Rhinolophus ferrumequinum: one gene and its partners. The protein of the gene in region 1 purifies or fractionates together with the protein of each later gene. This does not show direct contact. Links are inferred from orthologs where the notes say so. Each region holds a gene or a part of one and is shown on either strand. Other genes may lie near its edges. The genes, in order: IGF2BP3, FUS, G3BP2 and HNRNPA2B1.

Region 1 (8,095 bases):
TGACATTTTGTGTAGCCATGTCTGCTCTGCACCAGGGAACTACGGCTGCAAACCCCTCCTGCCCTTCAGCACACACACTCCACCAATACCTAACCAGACATACAGAGTCCTAGTTTAAATTAACTTCCCCGTTATTGTTTGGCCCAGGTTAGGAGTGGGGAGATGGGAAGGGAAAGGGCAGGAACCTTAACCCCACCTTGTGAAACCCAGAAAGGCATAGGCCAGCCCTAGCACCACTGGGAGGGTGCAGCACCTTTCCAATTAGAGTTACAGAGCAGGGATCTGGCCTGCTCTTGAGAAAAGAGCCATTTCTCCCAATTACTCTAGAGGTTAAAACACAGCCTCCAAACATTCTATAAAATGACACACGACACATGCTCTCTGCAAAGTGCAATCCCTTTGCTGAAGTAGCACAAATCTTTAGTCTCCACGATCTCTTGGTGGTAATTCGTAAGCAAAAATATTTTTTTTAAGGATGGGGGAGAGAAGCGGGAGACAAAGACCGGTTTGCAGAAACCTGTCTGCCTCCGGAGTGCGTGCAAGGCGCTTCTGGGCAGAAGAAGGCCAGAGGTTCACTCACGTGTTCCAATCCCAGCTGGCCAGCTAACAGGGTAAAGGCACTCCCTCTCCCCTCAGACTTGGGGCTGGCCTCTCAGGCTGGTCGCCGCCAGCTTAGGACAGAGAAAGAAAGGCAGGACACACTCGTGTGTGTCCACAGCTGCTTTCGCCTACCCTGTACTTATAGGTGTGGTGGGGGAGGGGTCACCCATTGCTTCCCAAGAGTTACAGATTCCCAAAAACTGCCCTCCGACTGATTTCCTGATGAAGCAACTTGCCCTCCTCTACCAGAGAATACTGAGATGGGAGAGCTTCCTCGAGAGACTTAGTCCAATAACACTACTCCAGTGGCAGAGGCCACACATAAGCCCTCTCTTCCTTTGCAGCATTACCCACGCAAACACACCTGCCATACACTTAAATACAAGAGAAAAAGTCGAGAAACGCCACGCCATACAGCCGCCCAATAAGTACAAGAGGAAAAGTTGTTTTCAGCTGTGTTGATAGTCTTTCCTCCCAATACTGGAATGAGAACAGAATCGGCGAGAACAGAATAAATGAGCTCACCTTTGCCTTTTAGGGACCGAATGCTCAACTTCTAAGAGTTTCCCGTGCAGTTCCACTTTACCTGCGGACACACAAGAGGAGGAAGACAGTTGGCCGGGTTTAGCGGCTCTCCGCGCCCAAAGGACCTGCACATTCTGAGCGGCGACACAAGTGGCCTCCTGAGACCCCCAAACGGAATCCGGACGCGACTCAAGACCGGGAGAGAAGCCCGGCACCGCGCGGGTGGGAAGCTGACCCCCTCCCGGCTGTGTGTGTAACTTACAGATGGGTGAGGAGGGGAGTCGATTGGCGGCCCCGCTACTTCAGTCACAGTCTACCCACTGGCAGAGCTCCCCCGCCCACCAGAGGGGGGTCACCCAACCCCACGACAGTCGCAGGATGGACGCGGCCCCTCCGCCCACCTCCCTGGACACACACACAAGACAAACTTAGGAGAGGGGGCTGTGTTGGCTCTCTTCAGGAGGGGGCGCCCGGGCCCTCCGGGAACAGGGAGCGGAGGAAAAGGCTCGAGGACAGTAGAGAGGGTGCAGAAGGAGCGAACGCCCGGAGGTGCATTTCGGTATCCAATGGACAACGCACGAAGGACAGCGCGGCGCCCACCACACCGAAAGCCTCCGGGATCCCAGAGGGACCCCAGCACAGCCTTCCCCTGGGGGCGGCCGGGCCCGCTGCCCCCCTACCCACCGTCCCCCGCCCTCGCAGATCGCGTCCCGAAACCCCCGGCGGCCGCAGCCGGTGGCCGGGTGCGGAGAACAGCGGGTCCCTACCTAGCGACCACAGGCCGCCCCTGTCCACCTGCCCCTGTCTCGTGGACGGCGGAGCATGGAACCCAGGTCGCACTCACCCGCCTCCCACAGTGTGGAGAGGCAGCGCGGGGCCTCCGGTGCGAAGCACCAGCCCGCGGCGGGCCTCACTCCGCAGCCGGGTCGAGGCCACTCCGCGTTCCCCCACTGCCGGGGTCTGGGGCGGGAGCGGCGCAGCGACTCCAATGCCATAAGTAAGCAGCAGAGCGAGGGAGGAAGGAGGGAGGGAGAGGCAGGCGTTCGCGGCCGGCCCCCGAGGCCCGGCGTGCCGGAGCCCGAGCACGCGCCTGGGCCCGGGCGGGGCGCGGGGCGAGCGCTGAGGGTCCCGCGCCGGCTGGCGCCGCTCCCCGGGCCCCGCCACGGTCCCCCGCTCCTCCTCCGAGCCCGCGCCCGAGCTTTCTTGACAGCGCGTCCGCCCTGCGCCCGCAAACCCCCGGCGGGGGGAGGGGAGCGACGGGGGCCCGGGTGGGAGCCCAGCTGAGGAAGCACCCCGGAGCCCACGCGTGTGGCGCCGGGGCCTCGGCCCCTCTCCGCGCCTTCGCCCGGAGCCCTGCGTGAACAAGCCGGCGGCAGCCGCGGGCCTGGCTCCGGGCCCTCAACCCCGGCAGGCCCGGGCAGGCGGAGGCGCAGGGCTGGGGCAGGCGCCCGGCGGGGCCAGGCCGGGGCCCACCTGAAAGCGCCTCGATGGCCTTGAGGGCCCAGCTCTCGTCCGGACAGTCCACGAACGCGTAGCCAGTCTTCACCAGGAAGGGGCCAGACACTGGGATCTTGGCGTCCTTGAAGATACTTTCCAGGTCCGAGGGGACGGCGTTCTCGCTGAGGTTTCCGATATACAGTTTGTTCATTGTGAAGAGTGGTTGTTTAAAAGAATTAGGAGAAAAAAAGAAAAATTAAAACCACCCACAGGGATGGATGGACCCGGAGGGTTTTGTTCCCTTCGTCTTCTCGCCGTTTAAAAACACAAACACAGTAAGAACCAAGGATAAGAACGAGGACAGAAAAATCAGATCCGAGGAGTCTTGTTTTCCCTTTTCTAGGTATTAAAAAAAAGAGAGAGAAATTGAAAAGCCTTGCTAGAACCCAAACGCATCAACGAGTCTTCCTAACTCGGAGGAGGAGGCGGGCTTAGCGAGAAAAAGGAGGAGAAGAGAAGGAGGAGGGGGAAAACTACTTTTTGTCTCTTCCTCCCCAACCCCTTTAGCTTCGGCCGGAGGACTGTGAAAATATCACACTACGTGAGGGCAGGCGCCGCCTCCCCATAAAAAACCCACAAGAGTGACTGGCAGGAGGGAGGGGAATCGGGTTGGAGGAAGGCGCAGGAGGCGGAAAAAATCCGCTCCGAGTGTCCGGCTTTTTGAATGAGCCACGTGTTCAAACTACAAATCAACGTCTCACGTGAGGAATCCCAGCGCCTCAATTAGAGTGGGTTTCGGGGGAAAAAAAGCGAGCGAGAGGAAGAGGGGGAGGGGAAAGGAGATTGGGCGAGGGACCCTGAAAAGGGGAGGAGGCAGCCGGGGAAACGCTAAAGGAGCCGCAGCCGGCGAGCGAGGGGAGCGCGGCTGCTTGAGCTGATTGTCACCACGGAGTTTAGAAAGGGTTATCCGGTCGGGGCGGATCCTGAGGGGGAGGGGAGTAGGGTTGGAATATCGATTTTTTTCCTTTTTAAATGAGATGGGGTGTGGGTACTAACTAGGCAATTCCTCAGCTCTAGTTACCGGAGTTTTAAATATTCGATTTCTTAAAATAGGTAATTAACAAAAGCAAAGAGTCACAATTCCGAACTCGCCTTGTGGCTTGGATGACATTAGAAGTGTAACCTCGGCAAAGCCGCGAGCACGTTTCCAGAGCTGGCAGGGGCGGAAACGCGGCGAGGGGGTAGGGTGGATAGGGGCGGGAGAGGCGGGCAGGGGCGCCCCACCCCTGCACCCTTCGCGGGCCGGGGCACCGGGGAAGGGGGGGGGGCCCCCAAGCCTGGGCGGTGGGGGATGGGAGCCCGCGGCGTCCTGGGCGGGTGTCTGGGCGACACCTCCTCCGCCTCCGCCTGCGCTCGCAGTGGCTCTCGGCTTCGCGATTGCCATTGGTTGCGCGATTCAGAAAAGGCTCTGGGATAAATGAGGCCGGGGGCGGGCTTGGCCAACAGTGGGGGAGGGGAGCGCAAGGGTGGCGGTTTCTGGCGTGGGGATAGGGGCGTCCCGGGGCCCCGGAGGCCGGAGCAGAGAAGACAGAGTGGGAAAAGTCGGTATTTAAACGGAAACCATATCTTCCTGTAGTTTCCAGAGGAGGAGGAGTGGGGTAGGCTCGTACTTTCATTTAAATAATTTTAGTTGGAGAACTTGGGACTCTTAAAACAGAGAGACCGCTCTGCGTTACCCCTAGGTGTTATTCGCACTTGAAAAATTATTCGAGTCTCTTTCTGCCTCTTTTCTGCCCGCATTTGGCCATGAGAACCATTCAGAATTTCCCTTGTACGTAACGAGTACAATGCTGGGTGTAGGGGGAGGGTCTGGGCCCGGTGGAGCCTTCCTGGGCAACAAAATGTGGACTGGAGACGAGGAATACGGAAATGAACGCAGTGCTGGAAATCTCCAAATGTCGTTTAATGATTGTCTACTCCACTCAAAGGCTTCACTTGTACCAGATACTTGTGGTATATTTTTAACAGGTATTCCATGAAAAACAAAATGCTTATTTTAAATAAGTGAATGGAATTCTATATAGCATAGAATTACATACAAAACTATTTAATCACTTCGTACTCTTACTAGTAGGAAAATGTGTTGTGTAATAGACACTATTGTGATTTACACTGAAATAGCTGAAGTAATTATGACAATTGATAGTTAATTTCCCTTTGTCAAACCCGTACATGGCATTTAAAAGTATATTTTCCAATAAAAAGATGATTGGTGATTTTTTAAGTATGTGGGAATTATTACATGATATAAATAGTATTTACGTTTTTTTTCTTTTAAGAGAAACTTATTTTGTAATTTTGTGTTAAGGAACCGGAAGGTGTCAGATCATCCATTTTAAATGCAACTGTTCTTTCTACTAGGTTTTTTTCCTGGCAAGCAAATCCAACTTTTTAAACGTAAATTCACTTTCACAGTATTTTCATTCACGTTTAACTTAGGAAAATGTTTTTACTTTATCAGATAAAGAGGACAAATGTGTTTTTGTATAATGTTTAGAATTGTTTTGTGAGCTCTATCTTGAACATTTTGGTGAAAATTTAAGTTTATGGCTAGGTTTAACTTTTAAAAGGAGCTTGTTTCCTTTTGATGTTTTTAAAAAGAGAACTTTGGTTCTAAAAAAGAAAAAAATATGTATTTATGACTTCTGTGGTATTCAAAATATCAAAAATTGTGAATTTATTTTTCATGGACCTGTTGCATGCGCTCAAAAACTATTTGGAAAAATATGCTTTTCATTCATTTGTGTTTTTCTAAATACTTCTTTAAATGTTATAAACGAGTCTTCTGATAATTTAGCATTTAGTGATTTTCATAAAAACAAATTTTGTATGTTTAGCTTGTTTCCAAAGTCAGTTGAATGGTACCTTCTGGATTGCTGACTGAATTTGCTGCTATTAAAACTGAGACCAAAGGAAATATCTACTTCCAAAGCATGGGATAAATTGTTTATTTTCCATAAATACTAGCCCATGCTTGTCTGTCACTATCAAACAAATCTAACAGCTGGAATTTAAAACAAGTGTGTGCTGTTTTGATGAAATATGTTCCTAGGACTCTTGTGAACTTAATCTGTGTATTATTGTAACAAACTGGATACTCCGTCTAGGACCTTAAAAACATACACGAGTTATATAAGCTCACACATCAAAAAGGGAGGTGGACACAGTCCACTTCGATTCTTCCAAGCACTGAGAGATAAGTATACACTAAATGGCTGAGTAAAAAGAGCATGGGTAATTGTTTTTTATTGGCATTTCAACTGCAAAAATAACTTTGGTGGATTTTCAAAAATGAATATAAAGTCAATCTAACTCGCAATCTTTTAATGAATCTCCCACAAGAAATTAACTATGTATATGGGCTACTCCAAGTTCTTCCTGAAACAGTTGCAGCTCCTAATTAATGTTAACTTCACGAAGGACTCCCACCCATTGTATGTGCTCTGATGCGACTGAGTCTTTCCAACTGCAGCCTGTTTACTCTTTGGACAGCTGCACCTCCTCATCTGCTGACCGAAGGGCAATAAAAATGTTTATGGGTGAGTGTAATATTAAAGGAGAAAAAAGCTCTTTAGAAGGTCGGTTACCGTTGCGGTATCCACAGGTAATGACCGAAGGCTGAGCAGGTAAAGGAGGGGGAAAGGAAATTCTCGTTGTTACCCCTAACTCCCGCTGCCTCGGGGACAAGCGGGAGACGAAGTCCTCGGGTGAGCACGCAATGCTCGCCGCGTCGCCTGGGCCTCCTACGACGTATTTTTAACATCATTCTTGCTCCTTCAACCAGCTCTCCTGGGCTCTGATGTTTAAACCTGATGCGTGATAAGTAGTAACCTGGCTCTGCCCTCTTCTGAACCTGCCTTCAGTTATTTTTGTTTAAAATAAAAAATGGTGCCCCAGAAGATGAGAAGATGGGGTTGTTTCCTTTCCTCCTGGCTCTGCCGGGAGAAAGAGGGCGGGATCCTTGCAGCGCACACTGGGGAAGATCCTTCGTCGGCCGCCGGCTAGCCTCGGAGGCCCTCGAACACTGCACGGCCCTGGCTCTGCCGCGGGACAGGCGCCTTCTGGCTCCGCTTCGGGTTCTGTCCGTCCGCGTGGAGCTGCGTGGACTGGTTAGACTTGGGGGTCGGGGGGCGCCTCTATCTTTACCCTCACTGTATGACGCCACCTGAGGTCCTCCTCCGTGGCCCGCGGGGGCGAATCAAGCAGCGTGCGATTAGCAGACCTCCCGGGCTCCCAGCCTGTTTCGACTTTGCGAGGGGCTCCCTTGCGCTGGGAAATGTTTGGTACCCAAGGAAAAAGACCGCAAGAAGCCCTCGCTGAACCCAGCGCCTCTGCCCGGGGCGGGGCGGGACAGTGAGACAGGCGCCCAGGGCGCGCAAACGCGGCCCCGGGGCGGGGTTTTGTGCAGCACGGGGGCCGATTCGCAGAAACCAAGTTGAGCAACCGGCGTGGAGAGAGACACCGCCCCTAGCTGGGGAGGGGGCGGGGGTCTTCGACTCTCACCCGATTGGTGGATGGAGGGAGCCTATCATCGTCGGCTGCCTCCGCCGGAGCCGTTTGCTGGTTTCCATTCATTGGCCCGCTAGCCACCCCTGGATTTCCATCTTTTGTGGCGCGAAAATAACCCTTTACTCCCTCTCATTGGTTCTGTTGTTGCTTAGGGTTGAGGTTGGGTTCCCCTCTTAGTGCTTTCATTTTTCCTGCCCTTTAACTGTGAGCCCCCCAACCCCCAAAGAGGAAAAGGGGAGATGACTAAGGAAGAGTAGAAAATAGTTCTGCGTGTGCGTGTGGAGCCCGCCCCTTGGGCTGACCGCATGGTGCCCGCAGACTCCCTTCCCTTCCCCCAACGTCCAGCGCCCGGAGGTCGTGGGTTTGCGCCATGCTAAGTAGCTGAAGTCACACCGTTTCTTTCGTTTCCAACATCTTAGAATGTATACGTCTTTTTAAATTACAACAGCAAAATACGTCTCTAGATGCCTGAATTTTCCTGGGCTTCTAGAGAAATCCACTCTTTCAGCCCCCTCCTTTTCTAACCCCCTTTGTGGTCCACGGGATTGTTACAAGCAAAACCAAACAACCCCTCCAAAAAAAAGCAAACGAAAAACTCCGGGTAATATCAGCTATGCCGAGACCAATATTTTCGTTGAAGCTGTCCTAAGACCAAAGAAGCTGAGACCGACCTTGAAGGATTAGCGATTTCTGTAGCTGAAATGTTCTAATTTTACGGACATTTGGTGGAGACGGTGAGAAAAAATAAATACAAGTTTGGCTTAGGGAAGCACAAAACAAACGAATAATCATATTTAATTTCACTAACTGAAAAAGCTAACAGCTACAGTGGTGTGTTCCAGGTAGTGGTGTCTTTGCAACGTTTGTAATTATCTACATAAGTTGCTATTGGTCTTCTCAAAAATAAAGATCAGAACTCTGACCATGACAGAAAAGAGGGAAGTATAAATTTGTTTGGTATATT
Region 2 (7,269 bases), on another chromosome or scaffold:
CCCGCCTCCACCACCCCCTCCGCTGCTGCTGTTGTACTGGTTCTGTTGTCCGTAGCCCTGAGGGGGATTATAGGAGCTTGGCTGCTGTCCGTAGCCTTGCTGTTGGCTGCCATAGCCAGACTGGGGCCCATAGCCTCCACTCTGGGGCTGCCCATAGCTGCTGCTCTGAGAACCGCTACCGTAACTATGGAAGAGGAAAAAGAAAAATGCCAGCATGTCCAAAACTTGCTTTCACTTTGTACATCCCATTCTCTGAACTCTGACCTCAACAGACACCCCCGCTACCCCTCCTAAGTGCCCCTTATAGATTCAGCCCTCCTGTTTCTGGCCTCCCCCCACAACGCCTTACCTTCCCGACGTGTTGCTAGGAGCTGGCTGCTGGCCATAGCCAGGGTAGGAAGACTGCTGCCCGTAGGACGACTGAGAACTCTGGCTGCCGCCATAGCCACCCGCTGAGCCATAGCCCTGGGGAGCTGACTGAGTGCTATAGCCTGCTACGTGGAAAAGAGAAAGGAAGTCATAAAAGCTACAAGGAAAGAGAAAGGCACAGAATGAACTGAAGAAAGCATTACATGTTACCTAATGCTCTACTTGAAAAGTCGCCTCTTAGAACCTGTTTAGAAATCTTGCAACTCATAGACAAAGGAGTTACCCTTCTCTTCTATGCTAAGGCTCATGTTCCAACTTCCACCAGCTTCAGAATTCCAATCTCAACGCCTTCATCCCAAAGCCCGTCTCCAGGACCACCAGTAAGCACAGCCCCAGAGGCCCCACTCGTTAACAGCACTTCAACCTACTCAGCTGTGCAGTATAAAATAGGACAACCCACATTCTCTACACTGCAGGACCTCAGGGCAAACTCCACCGCTCTAGGTAGCACATGATAACAGTCTGACTTCAAACATCTTCAGGCAAATCATGTCCTTCCTGTTAAGTATTAAAAGCCTACAACTTGCTCCCTTTAGTGAATACTTTCCCCACATTTCACCTTCATGCAACACAAATAGAAAAGTAAAAAGCCAAAAATGAAAAGAAACAAGCCCATAAGCGTTTGGTTTGAAAGGACTCAGATGCCAAGGGTTATAGACTGGATGAGGGACAAAGAAACATGTGACAGTTAACACTTCAGCTTAGGTTTAAGAAAAGCAACATTCAGAAAGAGCAGGAAGAGGCGGGGTGGCCCACTAAAAAGAGACTCACTGTTCTGGGTCTGTCCGTAGGAGCCGTAGCTGCTCTGGCCATAGCCGGAAGTGTCCGCTGACTGGCTGTAACCACCGTAACTCTGCTGTCCGTAGGGCTGATTGCTCTGCTGGGAATAGCCCTGTCCAGGCTGGGTGGGGTAGGCCCCATAGCTGGAGCAAAGAAAACCGGTGCAATCAGGAAACCTACCTTAGCAACCCTGGCCCTCCGCAACCTCTGGACGCCCAGAAAATACACTCACCTTTGGGTTGCTTGTTGGGTATAGTCTGCAAAAGAAAAAACAATCATGTCACCTTCGCCTGTCCCTACGAGAGGAGAGCACAAAGCAAAGAAAAGGCGCATTGCTACGAAGACTAAGAGGCCGCAACACCCACCGGCAACACCAAGTCTCGGCGGACACCCACCGTTCCCGGCCCGCAAATTCAACCGGCATCGGAAACCACACGCACTCACACACGTCTGGTTTCCACCACCGCTCTGGGAGGAAGGCCCGGCCGAGGGTCGAGCTACACAAGCTAAGGTCGGAGCCGCCGCAGCGGGACGGCCTTGAACGCAGGCCGGAGGCAGGAGGCAGCGCTGCTCCGGATGTGGCTCCGTGCTCCAGCCAGAACACAAAACCGCCCCCGGAGCGGGCCGCCTTCTACTGTCCGCCCCCCCTGGTCTGCGAGGCTGGGGAAGCGGCCTTTCAGCGCAAAGCTAGACACCCGAGGGGGGACCCCGGGCGTCATCGAGGCGCTGGTCTCGGGAGACGAGGTCACCGGCTCTCGAGCCCCGGGGCTGAGGCTCCCCGGAACCCGTTTTCTCACCGCCCCGCCCTCCCCGAGGCTTCCAGAGGGGGCGAAGCGCCCCCAACGAAGACGCACCGGCCAGACCCCCGCTCCCCACGGCGCCGTAAACGAGGGGCTTCCCCGCAGGGACGGGCCAAAAGACCGGGGGAGGGTGTGGCCGCTCCTTCCCGTTCCCACCGCGGAAAGAGGAAATTCAGGCGGGAAAACGCGGGGGCCCGGGCCCCACTCCCCTCGGACGACCTCCAGGCACCCCGCCTCCGGGAAACGGGTGCGCGGCCCGAACCCCGAGCCACCGCCCCCGGCCGCGTGGCACCCGAGGCGGGAACGGGGAGGTCCCGCCCCTTCCCGAGGGACCCCGGGGGCGGGGCCCACACCGGACGCGCCCCGCCGCGTCTCCCGCCGAGGGTCTCGCGACAGAAAGCCGCCCGACACGGGGCGGGGGCGGGGGGGTTCGCGCCACGAGCGAGGGGGGAGGGGCCAGCAGAGCGCGTGCGCCCGCCGAGTGCCCGGATGCAGCACTGCGACAAAGCGGGCCCCACGGCCGGGCCGGGGACCCGGGGGGAACGGCCACGGACGCCGCGCGTGTCCATCCGCGTCCCGCGTTTCCAACCGCCCAGGGGCTTCCCTCTTACACGGGCTCACCGTCGTGGGGCTTCGTAACGGGGCTGCGAAGGGAGGCCCTCCCGCCCCGCGCCAGGCGCCAGAGCGGCGAAACAAGATGGCGACATCGGCCTCCCCCTTCCACCCTCCGCCGCCGTTTCCCGCCACCGCGGTACGAGACGCTCCTCTACGCGACCGCCGCCCGGTCTCCCCGACCCACAAAACCGCCGCTGGGCGGGAACGAGGCCCCCCGTCGGCGCGCCCCTGCCGCCTCGCGCCCTCACATACCGTTTGAGGCCATGTCGGCGCACGCGCGCACGGGCCGACACGCAGCGAGATCCCGACACTACGGAGCACCGACGCCTAGAGGACTGAGCAGCCCCGCCGCCTGCGTCGACGTTTATGTACGCTTCCCCGCCTACGTACCGCGGAGGAATGTTCCAAAGGTGAAAGTAAGGGGGGGAGTCCGAGCGGCCGCCTCCCGCTCTACGGTGAACATAGACGGCTGAGCCGACAGAAGGGAAGCACGTCGACTAAGAGGCTTCCAATAGTATGTAGAACCATGTGTTTTCTAACAAAAAACTCCGATTCGCTCTGCAGGACTGGCCCACAATGATCTCTACCCCCCTAAAATAATGGTACGGTCTGATTACCCTCTGGGGGCGGGACGAGGGGGGGCCCAGGGCATCGGCGGACGGAACTGTAGTCAAAGCCTGGAACCGCAGGGCGGAACCGAAATTTCTCGGGCGGGCCCGTTTCCCTGGGCCCCACTTTCACTGGGGACGACGCGCCCCTACGCTGCACTCCCCTTGCACTGCACCAAGACGCCTCGTAGCTCGGGCGCCATCCTCCCCGGCTCTTGAAAGGACGTTTGTGTCTTCCCTGAAACACCCCCGCCCCCCCCCCCCCCCCACCCCGCACCCCCCCCCCCCCCCCCCCCCCCCCCCCCCCCCAACCCCCCCCCCCCCCCCCCCCCCCCCCCACCCCCACCCCCCCCCCCCCCCCCCCCCCCCCACACAACCCCCCCACCCCCCCCTCTTGCAGAGTCGCGTTTCCTTCGTCCTTGCCAGGGTGTGTGGATTGTGACGTTTCAGCTGCAGGACAGCATGCAGCGTCGCCTGACGCCGCGCTCATCGCCCCCCCAAACCCGCGGGACCTCAGTTTAGAGATGAGATGAGGGGTCTCTCAGTCTTTTACTGATAAGGAGCTTCTCTTTATTTTCCCGAAGCCCTACCAAGCACCACTGTGGACATCCAGTAGTGACATGTTTGTATAGGGCTCAAGTGCACAGTTAATGGTTTTTTTTTTTTTCCCCATCACGATCTTGGGAAGCAAGTAAAGCTGTGCCCATTTGATAGGGAAGGAAAGCGAGGCTCAGAGGCCAAGTGCAGCGAAAGGTCAGGGGTTCTCATTCGACCCCAAGTCTGTGTGGCTGCAAAACTCGCCTCTCGTTGGTGACGTGAACCCTTTGCGGGGCCCTGAAGTCTGTCCACTCCCTGGGAAAGCAAGGACAAAACGCGACGGTCGAAGTAACCTGTAACTTGCCTGGAACGGGAGATTTGAACGTATGGAATAAAACACCACCAAGGAAGTCATTCCTGGTTCACAGGCACACAGATTGTCCTTCCCTACATACCTGTGACCTCGGTTCCAGAGTTCCTTTGTAGGTTGGACGTGTTTTCCCGGAGAAACAATTGAGGGCTACGCCCTAGGCCTGCCCACAAACTGCTGCTAACCCCGATTTAGGCCCTGATGGCCCTGTCCCCCACCCCTACCCGCATTGAGAGGGCAGTGTGACTCTGGAGTAAGGGCAAAGGGAAATCCATCACTCATTCATTCGTTAATTCTACAAATATTAAGTGTTCTGGGCACTGAGGATGCACAAAACAGATGAAGTAATTTAACAACAAACTAACATTTAACCATAATAGTGTTTATATATTAAATGTGTAACGTTTATAAGAGCATAACAATTTCATAAAGCTTGCTAAGTATCAGGCACCATTCTGAGTGCTTTGAGTATAGCTTGTTCGATCTTATTCACAATAAAAGTTGGTGGAGGAATACATTTTTACAGATGAGCAGCCTAGGCACAGAAAGGTCAAAAGCTATGCCCAGGGCGACCCAGAAAAAGTGGCAAAGCCAAGTTCCCAACCCAGGCAGCCTGTCTCAGAGTTCCTGCTCTTAACCCCTGTGCTTCAACAAACATCTCTTGAGCACTGTGTGATATGTACAAAGCATAAAAATGGGTCAGTCCTGGAACCACAGCACCTTATAACCCGTGGCTGAGATGTGGGTGAGACCCAGAGACACCAAAGTGTACTCAAATTAAATGTGCTGTGACATAGAATCAAGGACTCCAGACACTATAGGGAAAGCGAGTCATCCATCAGGTAGACACCCAAGGACAGAAGATGAAAGAGAGGTGGTAACACTGAAGCCAGGCCTCCCAGGATAAGTAGGAGTTCACCAGCAGTGAAAGGAAAGGGTGTAACTGACAGAAGGAATGGCAGAGACAAAGCCATGGGTGAGGAAGGGCACTCGTGGGCAGAGTGGCAGGGAGAAATAGGCTCAAACTGTGACCTCCAGGAGGTAGGTTTCTCCGGACTCGTCTCTCTGAGTCACAGAACACGGGGCCTCTTACTTCTCCTTAAAAGTCTCTTTACACGAAGGACACCCCTCTCCCGACCCTCCCACCTTTCCCACCGTCATTCTATCTCCTGCCCCTTCGTTCTCTGCCTTTACTCACCCTCCAGGGTTCTGTCTTCAGCCTTCTTCGCAGCTCCTCTGAGACCCAAGACCCCAGCTGTGGGCCTGCTGTGAGATGCAGCTGCAGACAGGTTCTGTGTAGCCTAACGTTGTTTTTAATTTTTGTAACGAGTTGCCAAAACATAGAATAGGGCAAACTCCACGCTTCTGTCTTTTCTTGAAAACTGAGGGCTCGGGCCATCCTGTACATACTGTTGTTCAAGTATGTTATGGTGACCCCGTACACCCAATGCTAAAGAACACTGGGGTTCAGTTAGCAAGAAAGGAGAGGAATGGCTATCGCAATCTCCTTCTCATTTTTGTTTTGGTCTGTTCTCACACTAGCCATACAAATAGTGTATTGAAATAGGCCAGAAACGTAATTAGGGTGTATCTCTTAAAAGGGAAGATTCCATTTATAGCAACACTTGCCTGAAAGATACTCAAACTGAATACTGTATTTCATCACAACTGGTTCTGACCAGCTGAAGCTAATAAACAGGTGTGGCCTTTGAGTGACTCACTGGATGCCGGACCCTTATTGGACCTAACGAAGACTCCTTCCTGGCCAATGAGCAATGGGACTCTGTTTTAACCAATTGGGTCAGACCTATGAATTCATTCCCATCCATCCCAAGTGTTAGTTTTTCGTTGTTAATTAGCATATGACCCTGACAATCCCTTCCTAATACTCAAACCTCTCTTGACTTCTCACTCTCAGCAACCCTGCCAGTGAATGCCTCTTCACTGATGAGTTCCTTTGACTGTCAAGTACCGTCAGCCTTTTTCTTTTTTTAAACTTCGATGATCTTTGTTTCTTCACTGACGATCTTTAGAAATCATTTACATTTAGCTTTATAAAATAGTTTTAAATGAGAATCAGGGCCACAGTTTGACCATCTAGGAAAAGGGTCATTAAACTTTTCTGTTTTAATGGGGAGATGGTAAATACTTTAGGGTGTGTTGTTTTTTAACTTTATTTATTTTAAGTGTGTTTTTCCAGGACCCATCAGCTCCAAGTCAAGTAGTTGTTTCAATCTTGTTGTGGAGGGCGCAGCTCACAGTGGCCCATGAGGGGATCGAACCGGCAACCTTATTGTTAAGAGCACCACGCTCTAACCACCTGAGCTAACCGGCCACCCCCTACTTTAGGCTTTTTAAAGGTCTCAGTGGCAAGTCCTCAGCTCTGCCTTCATATCTCAAAAGCAGACATAGACAATAGGTAAATGAATGGGAGTGTCTGTGGTCCAATAAAACTTTACTTCAAAAACAGGCTGATGGCTGGAGTTGGCCCTAGGGCCATCATTTGCCAACTCCTGAACTAGGATTCAAGCCATTAAGCTATGGTCTATCATAAAAATCAACCCAGGGGCGGCCGGATGGCTCAGTTGGTTAGAGCACGAGCTCTTAACAGGTTGCCAGTTCAATTCCGCATGGGATGCTGTGCCCCTGCAACTAAGATTGAAGACGGTAACTGGACTTGGAGCTGAGCTGTGCCCTCCACAACTAGATTGAAGGACAATGACGTGGAGCTGATGGTCCCTGGAGAAACACACTGTTCCCCAATATTCTCCAATTAAAAAAAAAAATCAACCCAGAAGTAAGGTAGAAATCAAGTTGGAGATCCCCAGCTGTATTTGACTCTCCCCAGATCTAGCCCTCTGCAGAATGGTCCCTAGCAGAAGAGGATCAGAACGCCTCACCATTTCTTCCATGAGCTGAGTGGGGATAGCCTGTCGGACCCCAGACAGTTCATGTACTAACCTAACCAAGGCTTTAGTGATCAGAAACTTAAGACCATTGATAAGAAAGGTTGTAGCTATCAACGGATCCAACCCAATTCCAAAACCAAGATACAGAGCGGGCCCCCTCTGTAGATAACTAGGAGAAATACCAACCCTTCAGAGGGCAGGGCTAGTCAGAATCACCAGCA
Region 3 (7,756 bases), on another chromosome or scaffold:
ATTTTAAACATAAATTATCACCTCCATTTGTCCTCCTAAGCAGGTACAGACAATACTCCACAAACCCACCCCACTCCCAACCAAAAACCATCCTGTGCAATGATCTTTCATTGTTATTGTTGAGTTTGCCACTAGAAAGTAAGAAAGCATAGGGAAAGTAGGCCACTAAAGAAAGCCACTGAACTAGAGGATTGTAAGGAAACAATTTTAAAAACAGATTTCAAACCAATGAATTTTGTTAGTTGTTCTGTTGTCAGGTTTGGTTTAGGAAAAGAAAAACCATTTTTATTTACCCCAGTTAAAATTTTGGATTATGTGTATTTTAATGATTCATGGCATTTATTCTACTGTGTTACCCCGAAAATAAGATGGGGTCTCACATTAATTTTTGCTCCAAAGAGGCAGTAGGGCTTATGTTCAGGGGATGTCATCCTGAAAAATCATGCGGGGGCTCATTTTCCGGTTAGGTCTTATTTTCGGGGAAACACGGTAAGTGTTTAGATTTATGAAAGTCAGAAGTACAATGGCCTAAGTCAGACAGTCACAGTTTTTTCATGTTTTCTCTATCTTTACTTAAGAAATGGTTCTTGACCATCTATCATGTTAAAGGAATTACGCTAGATGATTAGAGTACAAATAGGAACAGGACATGGTCCCTGACTTTTCTCTATAAAATCAGCAGAAGTGCATTCACATGGAGGCCCTTTTTTCTTAAATAAGGAGTCTATTTCATGGCTGTTCCATAGTGATGATGCCTCTGCTCCCCTTTTAGACCCCAACTGAGAGACAAATCAGCCACTGTACCCTCTCTTGAGCCTAGAATAGGCTGCTCCACCCTTTCCCAGACACCAGAAGGGCAAGACAGGCAAGGTCAGGGGGAAGTATGGGGATTCAACCTTCAGCTCCTCTGCACCCAAATATCCATCCCTCCTGCCCATTGTCCTTCCTGCCCAGTGGATGCTATTCGGGAAGAAAACAGGTCAAATGAAGGGAAAACTCACAGTGACTTACTATACTCACCAAAATTTAAAACCAAGCCGGGCATTTAAAACAGGCCAGTGCATTAAAACAATTTTGCTAAAACGTCAAGATACTGTTTTTTCTATTACCAAATAATATATGTAAACATCCATGAGCCCCACTGCATTTCAGAGCTTTATCCCTAATGATGGGGTGGAGTGAAGCACATAGAGGTGAGGAGAGGCTCAGGGAGGGGTGAGGCTTAGGGACTGGGTCAAGTTCTTTGCACACATTACTTGGTGATAAAAAAGCTGAGCATTTATTGGTTACTTTTTTTAGGCTGCAACAAAATGCCCCCATGGAAAATGTCTGATGCAAAATGTCAAGTGTCTCGTTTTAAAGCAGAGGACAATGCTTAGTGCACAGTATTTTTGGCAGTATGATCCCCACTATTATCCAAGACACCCAGGCTTAAAACATTGGCACTAGCAAAGGAACTTTCACCATAGCCTTTGTGATAGTATGTATTATCCACAATTTCACCTTAGAGATGGAAAAAGGACCCTCCTCCACAGCATAATGTTCATATATCCTTTAATGTTTTCTTCATTTATGCATCAATACCACCTCTCATGAGAGTGCTAAACAACAGACGTACAAAAATGGGTAACATAATTCTGCCCTCAACAGTTTGACTTAACAAGCATTTACTGAGAGTTTACCACATATATTAACTGAAAAGCACTAGTGTGTGTGTGTGCGTGTGTGTGTGTGTATTTCAGGGAAAGTTTTCAGAAGATGCCAGTGTTAAGTCTTAAGGAACTAGCAGGTGTTTCCTTGATGAAGAAGGAGAGGTAGGGCATATATCCAGAGTATGTGAAGGAGGAGCTGGACAGATAGGCAGAAGTCAGAACATGATGGGCCTGTATACCAAACTATGGAGTTTGGACTTTATCACTGGAGGATTTTAAGAAGAGGACTGTCATGCAGATGATTTGCTGATGCAAGGCTCATCCAAGGGTGGACTGGAGACAGGAATGGAGGGAAATCAGAGCTTGAATACTGACAAACTAGTTAGGAAACTATTACTATAAGCTTGGTGAAAAATGATGAGAACATAAATTATCTCAGAGGCACAGAGGAGGGAAAGCTGAGGACCTATTTGAGAAATACTATATTCTATAAATAGACATGATAGGACTTGACTAGTAGACATACGGGGATGAAATCCAGAGTTTAAAAGTCTTTCCTGCTTTCTACTTCTAGTTTAGGCAATTATTTGGCTAGCGGTACTGTGCATAGGAAGCATACTGAATTTTTTTTTTTTTATAGGGAGGCTGGGGAATCTGAGACCCGTGGGACATTTAAGTGGGGAGGTGTATGAATCAGTTGGGTAACTGGGCCGTACACTTTTTAGACTCAAGAAATTTACAAGACTACTCCACATGCACGTGTACCTGACAACTCATTCTGAAACGAACAAGGCATACAGATATGAAAAAAGGACATTTTTCATGCTAAGAAAACCCGCTGAAAATGCAGAGATTGAAAGTTAGTAACAAAACATTATGCTACTAGCTGTCAAACTGACACTGCAGAGCAATGTATTTTCCCTAGTAAGCTAAATGCAGGGTTCGCTTGGTTTTCTCCTCACACCACTTAAAAATAGCGGTGTACCTGGTGTTTAGATCTAGGAATTCCTTTTCGCAGGTTTGAAGAGCAAGATCTGAGAAATGCGCCCTCCCGTGGAAGTAGAATGAGGGGGCTCTAGCACCCTCTTTACTACCAAACAAAGCCCTGTAAAGAAATGCAATTTACGGGGATCAGAAGGCCACAGCGCTCGGACTGCTAAACCAAAAAACCAAACCAACCCTGCCAAGGGTCAGGACCCCTTACCTGTCACGTCGGCCTAAGGACAATTTCAGTTTCGACTCAACAAAATTCGACTCTCCGGTACGATAGCTTGCAGTGCGTCCCGCTCCGCAACAACTGAACACGCTGCAAGCCAAAACACGTACACTGTCGGGATGCTCTCCAGCCCGCAGGGCCGGGCTTCGACCACGTGGGTGGCTGGGGCCAGCCCCAGCGACCTGCGAAGGGCGGGAGTAGGAGGCGTGTCCCTGCGGAGGGAGGCGGTCCCTGCGGAGGGAGGCGGTGCCTGCGGAGGGAGGCGGTGCCTGAGTAGTGGGCGGGGCTTGGGAGGACCCGTGCTCTCGGCCTTGTTTCGCCTACTTTACCCCTTTGCCTTCGCCCTTCGAGCCGCCACGTAATGCCACGTCCCCCGCACATGCGCATTTCGACTGCTGGTGGCCGCTGTTTCCGGGCTCAGGGGGCTGGAGCGGCCGCCGAGTAGGAGGCGGCGGTGGCGGTGCCCGGGGATCGTAGAGTGCTTGCTGGTCTGGGGCCAGGCCCTGCGGAGGACAGGGGAAGTTTTCTTTTCTGAAGTGGCTGGTAGAGCCGGTGGCTGAGCGGCAAGATGAATTTCCTTCGCGGGGTGATGGGGGGTCAGAGTGCCGGACCCCAGCACACAGAAGCCGAGACGGTGAGAGGAGCAGCGGATCTGGGACTTGGGAAGGGTCCGGGCAGGAACGGGGACGGAGGACTCGGGGTCCCGGAGGTCACCTCCCGCGCCCCACGGTGGGCCGGGGATCCACATGCCGCCTCCCCTTTTGCCTCCCTTCTCCTGAAACCCCCGAGTTATTCCCTTACGCCCCCAGCGCAGCCCCCCACCGCGGCGGCTCGGCCCTGCGGACAGCAGCCGCGGGAGGATGGTCGGTGGGTGGTACCGCCGGGAAGGGATCGATCCAGGGCAGAGGTGGCACGACCTATCTTACACGCCCCTCGAGGCCGCGGGCCTCTCCCTCCTTGCTTTTCGCCGGTGTCTCCACTGGCCGAGAGGAGCCTGAAGTCCTTGCTCCCTCTCTCGAGGTCTGGAATGGGGAATTGGGGAAGACTGGGTTTAAAACCCAGCTGTTAAAGAGAGCATGTGGCTAAGAATAAAAAGATAGTTTGGGGCAGAAAGCCACCTGCTCCTGTCCCATCAGCTGGAGGAAGGTCGTTCTACCAGGTGTTACTAGATCAGACCCCGTGTTTCGGACTCAAAATATATGCCATTTGGGAAATACCTGGACGTTGTAGGGATGTTTCGCGCTTAAACCGCTTTAGGGACACATTCCCCGCTCTCCCTTCCACTCACGCCGTTCAGAAGTCTGAACCCCTGATTTGGTAACACGATTTACAGCGTCACTTTAAAAAACTTGTTGGCCACAGAAAACAGTCTGGTAGTTGGTTCAATTTGAGGATAAACTGACTTTGAAATGTGGTTAGTGTCTATTAGAACTGAGTATGATTTTTTTTAAATAAACTTATTTGAAAATAATTTTAGATCTACAGAAAAGTGACAGATATGACATTTTAAACGTGAACTTTGGAAATAACTTTTATTGTCAAGCGCGTACCTTGTGCTAGGTGCTGTGCTGAGCTCTTTGTAGTCCACATTCTCCTTTAATCCCTAATCACCCTGCAAGATAGGTGATAGTGTCCTCACTTTACAAATGAGGCTGAAAGAGGTAAAGTAACTTGACCGAAGTCACACTACTAGTGTTATAATAGAGCCAGATTTCCACCAAGGTTTGCCTTACTTCAAAGCCTAAGCCTTATTGCTGATGCCCATGTTTTAATATATATCTGGGAATTTTGGAGAGTTAAATAATATTAAAAGTAATCTCACAGATCTGGGTTAGAACTGTTTAAAGCAGAAGTTGAAAGCTGGTGAATCTGTTTTCCTTCATTTGAAAATGAGATTACACCCAAACACACCTAATATTTGGCTTCTCTTGTTGGTTCCCACAGGGATACAAGGCAACTGAGCTGCCCTATTAGAGGACCATGCTCTCTCTAGATTACTATAGTCATAGCCCACCTCTTCAGCTTTTGTTTTGTTTTGTTTTGTTGTCTGATAGCTTTTTGTGTGGAGCACCAAGTTTTAAAGTGTGGTTTACTAGAACTTGTTTTGGAGTTAGATCTTGATTTGAATCCACCCCTGATTGGATTGGACTGATCAAAGATGGCTAATCTAATACCCAAACAATAAATTAAAGAAACTGTCTGCTGTTATGGGTGTAATGAGGATTAGGTGAAATAAAAAATAGAAAGAACCTAGCACTTAGTATTTGCTCAATAAGGTTTTTTATTGCATGTATTTAGGGAAAGAATAATCTTTTTTTTTTTTATAATTGGCCTTGTCACAATGACTTCTGCAGAAAAGTGGCATACAATTAATTGAGTATAGGGTTTTAAAGCTAGGAGGCCCTTTGCAGCTCATCCAGGTTGAACCCCCTTGTTTTACAAGTTAAGAAACTGAGGCACAGAGCACTTAAAACAACGTGTACAGTATTGTGGAGCTGAGACTAGAACACTTTGATCTTGCCATAGTGAATAGAACAACTTAGTTTTTATATCATGATTTCAAAATGAAGCTTGAATATCACTTGTGTATGTTGTATATATAAACAGAAAGGAAAGTGAGTATTCTTGTTCTTGCCTAACTTTGAGTATATACACTCAACACTGGAAAAATAGTTTGTCTTTGGAAGAGAATTAATAGTTTATTCTGAGGTACAGAATGAATAAAATTTGTTTCACCATCTCATTCCATCAGGAGGTATAATGGGTATAAGGGGTCATGGCTCACTAATTTAGAACTTTATAGAGCATCAGAGTGTGTGGTACAATATTAGTTTTAATTGGTAATTTGATCTGGCCTGCATATTCAAGTTGCCGTAGTTTGGAGCCTCTAACTTATGCATTGTCATTTAGTATTTCTAGGATTTTTGCTTTTATTTCTGCAAAATTAAATTATTTTCATAGCGATTTTTCCATTTTTCATGTTTTTCTCATTTTTTTCCAGTGGAAAGCCTCTTTTCTTTGTCTAACGTCTACCTGTTCTTCAAATTCAGCATCAATGCATTCAGTAATCTTATACTTCTTTCTCTCACCAAATTGTAGGTAATCTCTTACCCTCTGAGCAATCTTCACATTCAAGAAGATTGTGTATTTCTTAGGCTTTCTACCTTTTATATATGTCTCATCTCTTCTAGACTCTTAAGTCTTTAGGGCAGGTTTCATACGTATTTTTTTGTCTTGTTATTTTTTTGTTTTTCTCTTTTTTTATTTATTTATTTATTTATTTTTTCTTTCTTTATTTTTGTTTTGTCTTTGTTCATATGTATTTTAATCTTTATTTTTCCATGGTAAGATACTCAGTAAATATTTATTAAATGAATTCATTATAGTGATAAATGAAAGAAATCACAGATCGGTAATCATAACAGCTTATAAATTACTAGATGCTAAAACAATACTTTTTTTTTCTTTTTTTTTTTTTTTAAACGAGGGCGCAGCTCACAGTGGCCCATGCTGGGATTGAACCAGCAACCTTGGTGTTATTAGCACCACATTCTAACCAACTGAGCTAACTGGCCACCCCAACAATACTTTTTAAAGATTAAGAATCACAGTTTTGGAATGGTTGAAGTCTATTATGTCAAACGTTTTACTTAAGGAATTTTTCAGATTTACTGTATACCTTCTAAATATGAGAGTTATATTATTGATTGTATAGTACTTAGCTTTTCATACTCTCAGTTAAAAGTAACTTTAGACTGATATTAAGATGTTCTTCAGAGACAAAGTACTAAATATCTGCATTTGTGTCATGCTAGTCAATAATTCTATAAAGTTCTGAATATTTTATTCTAAAATTTCGTCCACATTAAACTTTTCATATTTTAGAGTCAAATAAGTTTTAATTTGATTTCTCTTTTAGATAGAGAAAGGCACTGACTTCTGATGATTGTAGTCTCTTAATCCTTCACATACTTTTCTGGGTGCAAATAAACACTAATTATAGTAAAAAACCCTACTCATTCTTCTGAATACTTATACAGGCTTAATTTTCCATCTACCTTCCAGCTAATACCTTTTTCCTTTTTTAAAGCTAGTTTATTGAAAATCCCAAGAGAAGTGTTGACTACATTTGATGATAAGTGTAGGTTTTCCTTTCATAAGTTGTATCCCAAGGCATGAAAGTTGACGAAAGTCCACACAAAGTGTGCAGAAGTAGCATACTGTAAGGTATCTCTTTTTAGATCAAACTTTGATCAGCTGGCTTAAAAACAAAACGGCTAAGAATATAGACACAGCTGTACTTTCTTTTAATAAAAAATGAGTGTGCACTTAAATTTAGACATAGTTTTGGTTTGGTCAAGCACATTTGATAACACGTTACTATAAATGTGTAGTCTGAAACTCCTGTTTGGGTTTATGTTTCATATTGTACATTAATAATCAGGTCAGTGTCCCAACTGGTATGTGTTTTCTCTCTTGGCTCTTGCAATAACAATGTCAGAAAAAAACATAATAATAATTTGTATTTGATTACTTCTATATCCAACCCAACATGTCTTTTGTATTCTTATTAAGTAACGTCTGTTGAAAATTACATGGCTTTTTTGAAAGTGTATTAGATTACTTAGGGTGGTTGTAAAAAAAACTAGTATCATTTACATTTTACATAGCCTGGCGTTATCAAAGTATGTTCCAGAGAATTCTTTCAAGTGGAGGTACTTGAAAGAATTTTGTTACTGAAGAAGGGTGCTGTGTGATGATCAAAAACAAAACAAAAAGCCTGATATTTATAGATTTATTAAGCAAGCACTGTGTTACATTTTCAAATATTTTCAAGATGGAGATATAAAGTAAGTTGTGTTTGCCAAATTTATTTGACCAGACCCTT
Region 4 (8,004 bases), about 2.0 Mb from region 1:
CTCGTAGTAATTCCTCAAACTTTCTTCTGTGGTTTCGAAGCTCAAGCCACCAATAAAGAGTTTACGGAACTGTTCCTTTTCTCTCTGCAAAGGAAAACACCATTTCAATTTTTATTTACATTTTCTCTTCGTATGCAGGAAATTAAATTCTTAAATGTAAGGTGACCTGCTGGCAGAGTACCTTTTTCCTCTCCAAAGGAACAGTTTCTAAAGTTTTCTGGAGGGAAAAAAAAAACTTACATCAAATTTAAACCATATGTTAAACTGCATATTAGTGTTACACCAAAAAAAAAAAAACTGCTTCATCTGAACTACACACGTTTCAGTCATTAATGCTTGATCTAAATTTACTTGACATTTCAAATCAATTTAATATCACTTAATTTAAAAAGCTTTCTTAAGAGAAAGGAGCAAATCTCTTCTCTGGTCATTGAAGGGTTAAGTAGTCATCAGAAGTTGCATTCAATCCTATATCCTAGAACAGAAAAGTTAACTTTTAAATGCCCAGTTTGAATATTTTTTAATATAAAAATTGCTGGTTCCTTACATCCCATAATTTACCATTTCAGAATTTAGTTTCTGAAAAGTGACAGATTTACGTTCCCTTCATTGCTCCCTCTGGTGGAGATTCTAATACATCGCAATCAAAAACCTAGCAAGAATCATTCTTTTCCCATATACCAACTATTCACCACCACTTGGGGCAAAAACTTAAAATTAAAATGTTCAATACATGTAGCAAAATATACGTCATTTTTACCATTCTTCTGACCAAGACCAGTTTTTATGACCAACTAAAGCTTATCTATACCATACCTCCATTTACATTTCACTCACTCATTTGAAAAAAAACCAAGGGCCATGTGAATTGAACTTAGTGGCCACCCCGCAAACTACACAGAATGTCTCTAATTTTACAAGGAAAAAGAAAATATGCCTGAGCTGAAATCTTTTAATCCCCATAAACCAGCAAATAAGCTGCATTAACAGTCCTATGTTTCCGAGCTATCAGTTAAGGTAGTTTTCAGGTGACTAGATTAAAAAAAATTTTAAATATTCAGAAACCAGAATAAATGCAATGTTGAGGACCAACTGCTACGAATACATAATATAAACTGAAACATAAAGTGTAATTTCCACTACAACAGTAAGTATTTTATTACTAGCAAAGAGCATCACAGCTCTCAACCCAGTTCTATGAACGTTTCTCCCTCCAAGCATATTGTCCCAACTCAAAAAAATACAGTGATAAGCAATTCAGAGTTTTTTCTGCATGTTTACTGTGTTCAGGAACCTAAAAATTTTAAAAGATTATCAAACCAGCTCCTGATAGAGTTAAATAACAATCTATTAAAATCGTTATTTGGCATATTGGTATTTTGGATTCTTAACCTTATTCTAAATACTGTATTGTTAATAAATAGGTCTTTCAAAACCCAACTAGTTTAAAAAAGTACATCTGCGACAGTTTCTACCAATCACTAAAAGGCAAAAAACTCATTTACTTACCTCATTTTTTTCCCAAACTTACCCGATGTCCACTATCGATTACAAAGTTATTTTATAAGCATGCTTAGGGTCAAAGAAAATACCCTGGTAGACCCCCTTTGCTTGGGCCCTTATGTTTGCCAATGTAATGAACCGTAATTGCCAACACGAGAATATCAAGTGACAAAGTTCAAATACATAGTGGCCCCAACCTAAAGTCTTGTATAGCAAGCAATACACGCACCGAAAGACTGAGTCGGGTTTTAAACAGAACCTAAGAATAAAATCATTTTTATTTCACTTTCCTCATAATTCCTCGCTAATCATTTATAAGGACCCGTGGTCTTAACCAATAAAAACTATATTTTCTAGTTAAAGTATTATTTTAATACGAAAAAGTCCCGTAAATTAGAGGGAATCCTTCAGGAAAATACAGGATTCTGAAACGAATCATTCCCTTCCCCATTGCCGCCCACATACTCAGTACTAGTCTGATAGGTCCGATTTTCATTTATTTCTCGTTTTCTGCGAGACAACTGCCTTTGAGCCACGGCTGACCCAGATTAAAACCGTTACTCAAGGAAATAAGGGCTGTAAAACAAAATGTTTTGTGTACTCTGGAGCTCGCCTTAAAACGGGGCCCCAAACCACAGAGGTCGCTTTACCTTCTCTTAAGCGGTGCGAACCAACCCTGAAGTCGCCCCCCCCACCCCCCAGCCCGCGCGCGCGCGCTCTTCGCTGTGGCTTCTGAACGCAATGGCGCCATTTCATCGAGGGGAAAGGAGAGCCTCTAATGAGGTGCGCAGAGCTTTAAAGATCCAAGCTCACAAAGCACTCGGAATCCACCTCAAAACGGCGTGAAATCAGGCCGGGAAGAAATAAAAACGGTTAACCACTTCTATTCTTTGATAAAAGAATCAAACTAGGAGACTTCAAACAGTTTAAAGAAAAACGCGGCGAGGAAGGAGAGAAATGAAAATGGCGGCCGCCAAATCCGGTTCCCAGGAGAGGGGGAGGGGAAGCTCCGCAGCCTCGCTCCCGAGGACCCAAAGCCCGCCGAAACGCTCGCACTCGAGGACGTGGGGACCCCCAAATAAGCCCGCTTTAAAAAGTAAATAAGAATCCCTGCCTCCGCGCCCCACATTCACTAAAATGAGGCTGCATCCGCCATGTGGAAGATCCCCATCCCCCACCCCCAGCAAAGGGAAATGGCGCCGGGCGGCTGAGGGTGGGGAAAGTGCTGAACAGGCCTACGCCAAAATTACCTCTTCAAAAATATCCCCAGAACAACCGCTTGTGAAGTGGCCCAATTTCACTGCCGCTCTCCCACGAGGCGGGTGGCCGACTTCCACTGAGGCTCCAACGGCCTCGCCATGCCCTTTCCAATTAACTCATTGATTTCAAACCCGTTACCTCCATCGCGGACTCAGTCGCTTCAGCTCGATTTCCCGCAGCCGAGCGAGATGAGAGAGATCTCCGCGGTCGAACACGAACCGGACTCGTCCTGGCGCTGTAGTGAAAACTGCCGCGGCTGGAGAAACAACACCGCTAGGAGCACCTCCGCACGGCAAGCCGGCGCTGCTGCTACTGGCGCTAGAGCCCCTGCCGCCGCTTTTCTAGAACCTTCCCCCCAACTAACGCGCCTTTACGTCAGGCCGTTGCGTAAACGTCCTAACCGCCGCCAATAGCGAGAAAGCTCTAGGCCCCTTTTACGCCAATTACGTACACCTCCCTCCCTTACGGCAAACGGTAGTGCTTGACGTCACTTGCGTAAATGTGATCTGTGAATTGCGGAAGGCTCGAGTCCTGCGTATTTTCCTCTCTCGGAATTGGGTCCAGCCCCTGCCTTAGCGCAGGGCAGGTGAGAAACGGTCACGCAATTTGAAATTAACGATGTCGGGTGGAGCGTAATCCACAGCCAAGAGGTCCAGCCTCCTCAACCCGGGAAGTGCTCCCTGTAATACTGATTTTGATAATCTCCCCCACCTCGCAATCTCCCTCCATAAAAATCTTTGTAGCCTCCCCCTGCGATTTTCCTCCCCTACCCCTCCCCCTGCGCTGAGGCCTGACTCGGCCCCTTCCGGGAACACGCAAAGCGACTTCTAGTCCACAAATTACACTTGACGCTCCATCAACATAACCCTGGCTAACATTTTTTGGTGTCCAGCACTCGGGTTTAGGAGAGGTTTTCAGAGAGGGTGGGCCGAAATGGGCACTCATTAGTTCCCGATTGTCCCCCAGCTATGTTTTTCTTCACCCCTTCGCATCGTTTGGAGGCACCCACCCCGAAAAGCGAGGAAGTAGGCGGAGCCTGGTTTTGGCGCCAGCGCTGCTGCTGCGAAGGTGAAACGCCTCCGCCGATAAAACTCTGGCCACCACCCTCGCCCCTCCTTTCCTCTCCCTCCCCTCCGGGGACCACCAAGCGCCACCCGGCGAAAGGTAAATGCCACTATCGCCGCCCCCCTCCCCACTGGTCTGTGCTCGGGCTCCCGGCGGGCACAGCGCGACCTCCAGCCCCTCCCCCACGCCGGGCGCGCTCCCGCCCGCTCCGCCCCTCGTGCCCGCCCGGCGTGGGCGGTGCCAACCCCCCCACTCCCGCGGCCGCGGCCCCGCGCGCAGCTTCCCGGCCCCCCTCCCCCTCGGATGTGGCTCGAGCTGAAGGCGCGCAGGGCCGGAGACGCTGCAGACGCGAGACCCGGAGCACCTCCGAGGCGGTGAAGTCGGTGTTTTTCTTTCTCTCTAGCGTTCACTCGGAGGTGGTGCTTAAAATGCGCCACAGAGACCCTCCCCCACCCCGTTTCCCGCTCTCACCCTTCCCCACCCGACCCCCGAGGCGTGAGCTGGGGGGAAAGAAACAGGCGAGCGAAGACCCCGCCGCGGGCCTGGCGTTGGCCCGGCGCCTGTAGTTTGTTGGGGGAGATGAGACTGTCTTTGACAGGGTAAAGAGCTGTGGCGACAGCCGCCTTATTTCTAGACAAAGCGTATTTCCTCCCCTCCCCCATCCCCGATCTAGATGAGAGGCCCTTCTCCCCCCTCCCGGCCTGGTTGGAGGCGGGGGCCTCCCGGGAGGGCTGTGCATTTTCCCGCATCTGCGTGGCCCGACTGCCTGCGCGCGGCCCGCAGTCCGGAGGCTGCGGCGGGCGCTCCGTTACGTGGCCGCCGCGGGGCGGGAGTAGGCGCGGGCCCCGTGGCGCAGTGCCCTTGAACCCCCGCGCCGCGGCCTTTGTTTCTCCCCGCGGATGCGCTGACCACGAGGCCTTAGCTCCCGTGTGGGGGGCGGGGTCTGGGGCTAGCGGGAACAGATGGACGGACAGAAGAGGTGATTTGTTTTTCAAAGTGGCACAAAATGGGACTGAAGCATCTTGCTGTGTTTTTTCCTTTAGTTTTTTAAGTACTGACTGGAAAGAGGGAGGGTTTCCAAGAAGAGACCAAGTTGGGATTACCTAGTCGATTCTTAAGACTGTTAAGAGGTCTAGAGGAAAAATTCACGGTAGTTTACCATTTTCATGGAGTAATTGTGTCTGATTTTGAACCAAGATATTTGGCCATTTTTAAAGAAATGCTGAATATGGTAGAAATGGGATGTGGACTGGAAGAATACCTGTCTACTAATTTTTGCCCTGTAAGGGTGTCTCAGAGTCCAGTGTTCCTAGTAAGGTTTTCAAGGCCCACTTGGTTAGAACACTGATATACTCTCAGGCATATATCACTAATAACTTAGGTAGGAACTCAAATCTTACTTGGATTTGTACAGTATAAGTTTGATAATATGGGCTACATAGGTGGGGGTTGGAATCCAAACAAAACTTTAGTTACCTTTTTGTATCATGCAAACTTTCTTTTAATTGTCATGCATTTTTTTAGCAGTAGCTCTTCAAGTCTGCAATAAAAAATGGCCTCCAATAAAACTACATTGGTAAGTTAACAAAAACCTCAAATGTGTAAGGGTCTAACTCAAATTTTTTCCCCAAAAATTATAACTTTGCATGTCGGTGATTGAGAAATTTACATCCATTTATATATTCTGCAGTCCATTCTCTCCTCAATGTTATGGGGAAAACTAGGGACAAAAATGAAATCATTACATTGAGATACTTATTGGCTTGGCTTAATAGTGTCTTAATTCAATTAAAGGAACCTAGTGTTGGAAGAAGAGCACAGTATGAGCGTCACCAAGTATATCTTGAAGTAAAAATGCACAAATTTATATAACATAAAAAATATGTTGCAAGCATAGACAAAGCAGCAAAGCCCTTGTTGATTGGCATAATTATCTGCCTCACCATACTGAATTCTAGGGAAATAAAGTATTTTCAGTATTGGCCAATTTAATTGAGCATGTACCTTGTACACTTAAATGGGGCAAAGTCACTGAATCAAATTACTTTGGTCACTTTATCATATTTCAAACTTGCTCATTCTAAAAATACAAAAGGGCCTTAAATTTAAATCATTGCAGTGTTTTTTTGATACACAAAATGAACAAAATTGCACATATGTCCAGGAAGGAGAGTAGATCTATTGAAACTTCTGAGCAGTTAACATTTTTTCTCTCTAGTTTCTTAAACCCAAAGTTTGCATTCTTAGACTTCATTGAAAGTTCTGTAAATGTGTAAAGACATACGTATATTCAGCCACATCAAGTTAAAAGTTTTTTAAAAGTCACTGGAGTGTTTATATAAAAATCACGAAATTCAAAGGCATGGTTCCCACAGTATTTACTTCTAACACATTGTGTTGTTAATAATTGCAATTATATGAAGGTGAGTGTTAACATCTAAATCAAGCAAAACATTTGATTTTGGTTTGTGTATATTCTCCCCTTGTATTTCACACCAAAAAGGACAACTTGGTGATTTTTAATTTGTGCTATCAATAGATTGCACATCTAAATGAAATATCCTGGGAAACATCGAAATGAAATATAAAGCCTTGCTGGTGAGTCTCTATGGCACAAATGATTCCCATCAAAACCATCAATAGAAAAAGCACAAAGCATCTTCTATGCCCCTTCAGGTTTGAACTGTCCTTCGAATTTCCATAATCAGTAAACCAAAGTGTACATAATTGAATTGGCTTTCTGATCAACTGTGCCCAAATATTGGACGGGAAGGGAATATGCTCTTTTTAATGCTTTGAGAATGAATGTAGATACAGAAAGTAAATAGGTGCTTCTGTTAAAATTAAATTCTTTTTGCACACAAGTATTTTAATCTTCATTTTAAAGTTATTAATGTTATGAGATAAAGTGTGCTATAACTTAAAGGGGAAAGTGGGTGAATTTTCCTTTAAAAAGAAAAAAAGTGCTTGAAACTAGTTTGTGAGTACCATCATAGTACTTCATTTTTTAATGCCAATTTTTTATCAGGGTTTATCCTTTTCATTTTCTGTGTTTTTATCATCCTCTTTATTCTGTTAATCTCTTACTTTCATGGACATAGCTATTTTGTTTTATTATTTAGGATCAGTATCCAGTAAGCACTTGTCCACACCAGTATTTCTTCATTCACTCTTCCCACTATTCTTACCTTCCTGTACTGTAGAGAAGCAGAAAGCTCTCGGACTGGTTGCAGTACCCAAGTATCTTGACTAATGAAAATTGTAAGGCCTGACTTAAAGATAGTATCCAACAAAATAAAATGTTTGCGTTTTTTTAAATTCCAGAGGATTTTCAGTTCTTATATGTGTGTGTACCTCTAAATGACTACATAGTTTTAATGTCCTTTTGCAATATTTTGTAATTGCCGTTACATTTTTCTACTTGCATACTATATTGAGGGATGACTTTAGTGACTAGGCAATTAAGATTTAATAGCACCTGTTTTAAATGATTATAAAATGAGCGTAACATTTGGGATTCCCTCCCACCTTTGTCTCTTCTAATTGACCAGTTTGTTTGTTGTTTTAATTTATCCATTTTCAGTCTTCTGGTAACAAATCTGTTTGTGTTATTGGAAAATAGCAGGTTGAGCTTGGTGTCCTGCTTCTCTCAAATGGTGTTACACTTAAAAAAAATTGAAAAAGCTAAAACTTTTTTAAAGTGAATTTTGTTGGCTATCAGTTTAGACTTCTTGAGAAACCAAGAAAGGTTGTTTTTTTTTTCCTACAGAGTTAAACTGATGTAGCATTTTTGGCCTCTTGAAATGACAGCATTATAGCTTTGTACTAAGTGGTCAGTAATGTTATCAACAGAAATTATGGAAAAATAACCTATTCATGGTCTCTCTGGTTGGCCCTGCTATATAGGATTCTGAACTATGTTTTTCAATTATTGGCGGTTACCTATTTTTCTGTATTGTGGCTTTTAACATTAGTGTTTGAATTGCCAAAGTGGGTCTTAGTGTTTGGGAGCTATAGTTTTGACACGTCTAAGATTCACTTAGTAAGACCTGTCACTGCTACTTAATCTTTTCTCTACCGTTTTTCCCCGAAAATAAGACCTAGCCGGACAATCAGCTCTAATGCGTCTTTTGGAGCAAAAATTAATACAAGATCTGGTATTATATTATACACGGT

The links.
Region 2: the proteins of IGF2BP3 (region 1) and FUS purify together in Homo sapiens (affinity purification with mass spectrometry; 3 studies listed by BioGRID and IntAct, with this or other methods). This does not show direct contact. The link is inferred for Rhinolophus ferrumequinum from reciprocal best matches to the Homo sapiens genes IGF2BP3 and FUS.
Region 3: the proteins of IGF2BP3 (region 1) and G3BP2 purify together in Homo sapiens (affinity purification with mass spectrometry; 3 studies listed by BioGRID and IntAct, with this or other methods). This does not show direct contact. The link is inferred for Rhinolophus ferrumequinum from reciprocal best matches to the Homo sapiens genes IGF2BP3 and G3BP2.
Region 4: the proteins of IGF2BP3 (region 1) and HNRNPA2B1 purify together in Homo sapiens (affinity purification with mass spectrometry; 4 studies listed by BioGRID and IntAct, with this or other methods). This does not show direct contact. The link is inferred for Rhinolophus ferrumequinum from reciprocal best matches to the Homo sapiens genes IGF2BP3 and HNRNPA2B1.

The regions. Positions count from the first base shown.
Region 1 is NC_046303.1:17,191,573-17,199,667, reverse strand, and holds the start of IGF2BP3 (insulin-like growth factor 2 mRNA-binding protein 3), read right to left. Parts: upstream 3,123-8,095; 5' UTR 2,774-3,122; coding exon 2,599-2,773; intron 1,187-2,598; coding exon 1,126-1,186; intron 1-1,125. UniProt on the Homo sapiens protein: RNA-binding factor that may recruit target transcripts to cytoplasmic protein-RNA complexes (mRNPs). This transcript 'caging' into mRNPs allows mRNA transport and transient storage.
Region 2 is NW_022680357.1:239,750-247,018, forward strand, and holds the start of FUS (RNA-binding protein FUS), read right to left. Parts: upstream 3,013-7,269; 5' UTR 2,890-3,012; coding exon 2,877-2,889; intron 1,467-2,876; coding exon 1,442-1,466; intron 1,353-1,441; coding exon 1,201-1,352; intron 495-1,200; coding exon 350-494; intron 185-349; coding exon 1-184. UniProt on the Homo sapiens protein: DNA/RNA-binding protein that plays a role in various cellular processes such as transcription regulation, RNA splicing, RNA transport, DNA repair and damage response. Binds to ssRNA containing the consensus sequence 5'-AGGUAA-3'.
Region 3 is NC_046288.1:32,119,149-32,126,904, forward strand, and holds the start of G3BP2 (ras GTPase-activating protein-binding protein 2), read right to left. Parts: upstream 3,015-7,756; 5' UTR 2,857-3,014; intron 1-2,856. Other genes in the region: USO1 (general vesicular transport factor p115), read left to right, coding at 3,437-3,502.
Region 4 is NC_046303.1:15,226,736-15,234,739, reverse strand, and holds the start of HNRNPA2B1 (heterogeneous nuclear ribonucleoproteins A2/B1), read right to left. Parts: upstream 3,120-8,004; 5' UTR 2,908-3,119; coding exon 2,902-2,907; intron 218-2,901; coding exon 182-217; intron 85-181; coding exon 1-84. Other genes in the region: CBX3 (chromobox protein homolog 3), read left to right, coding at 5,381-5,404. UniProt on the Homo sapiens protein: Heterogeneous nuclear ribonucleoprotein (hnRNP) that associates with nascent pre-mRNAs, packaging them into hnRNP particles.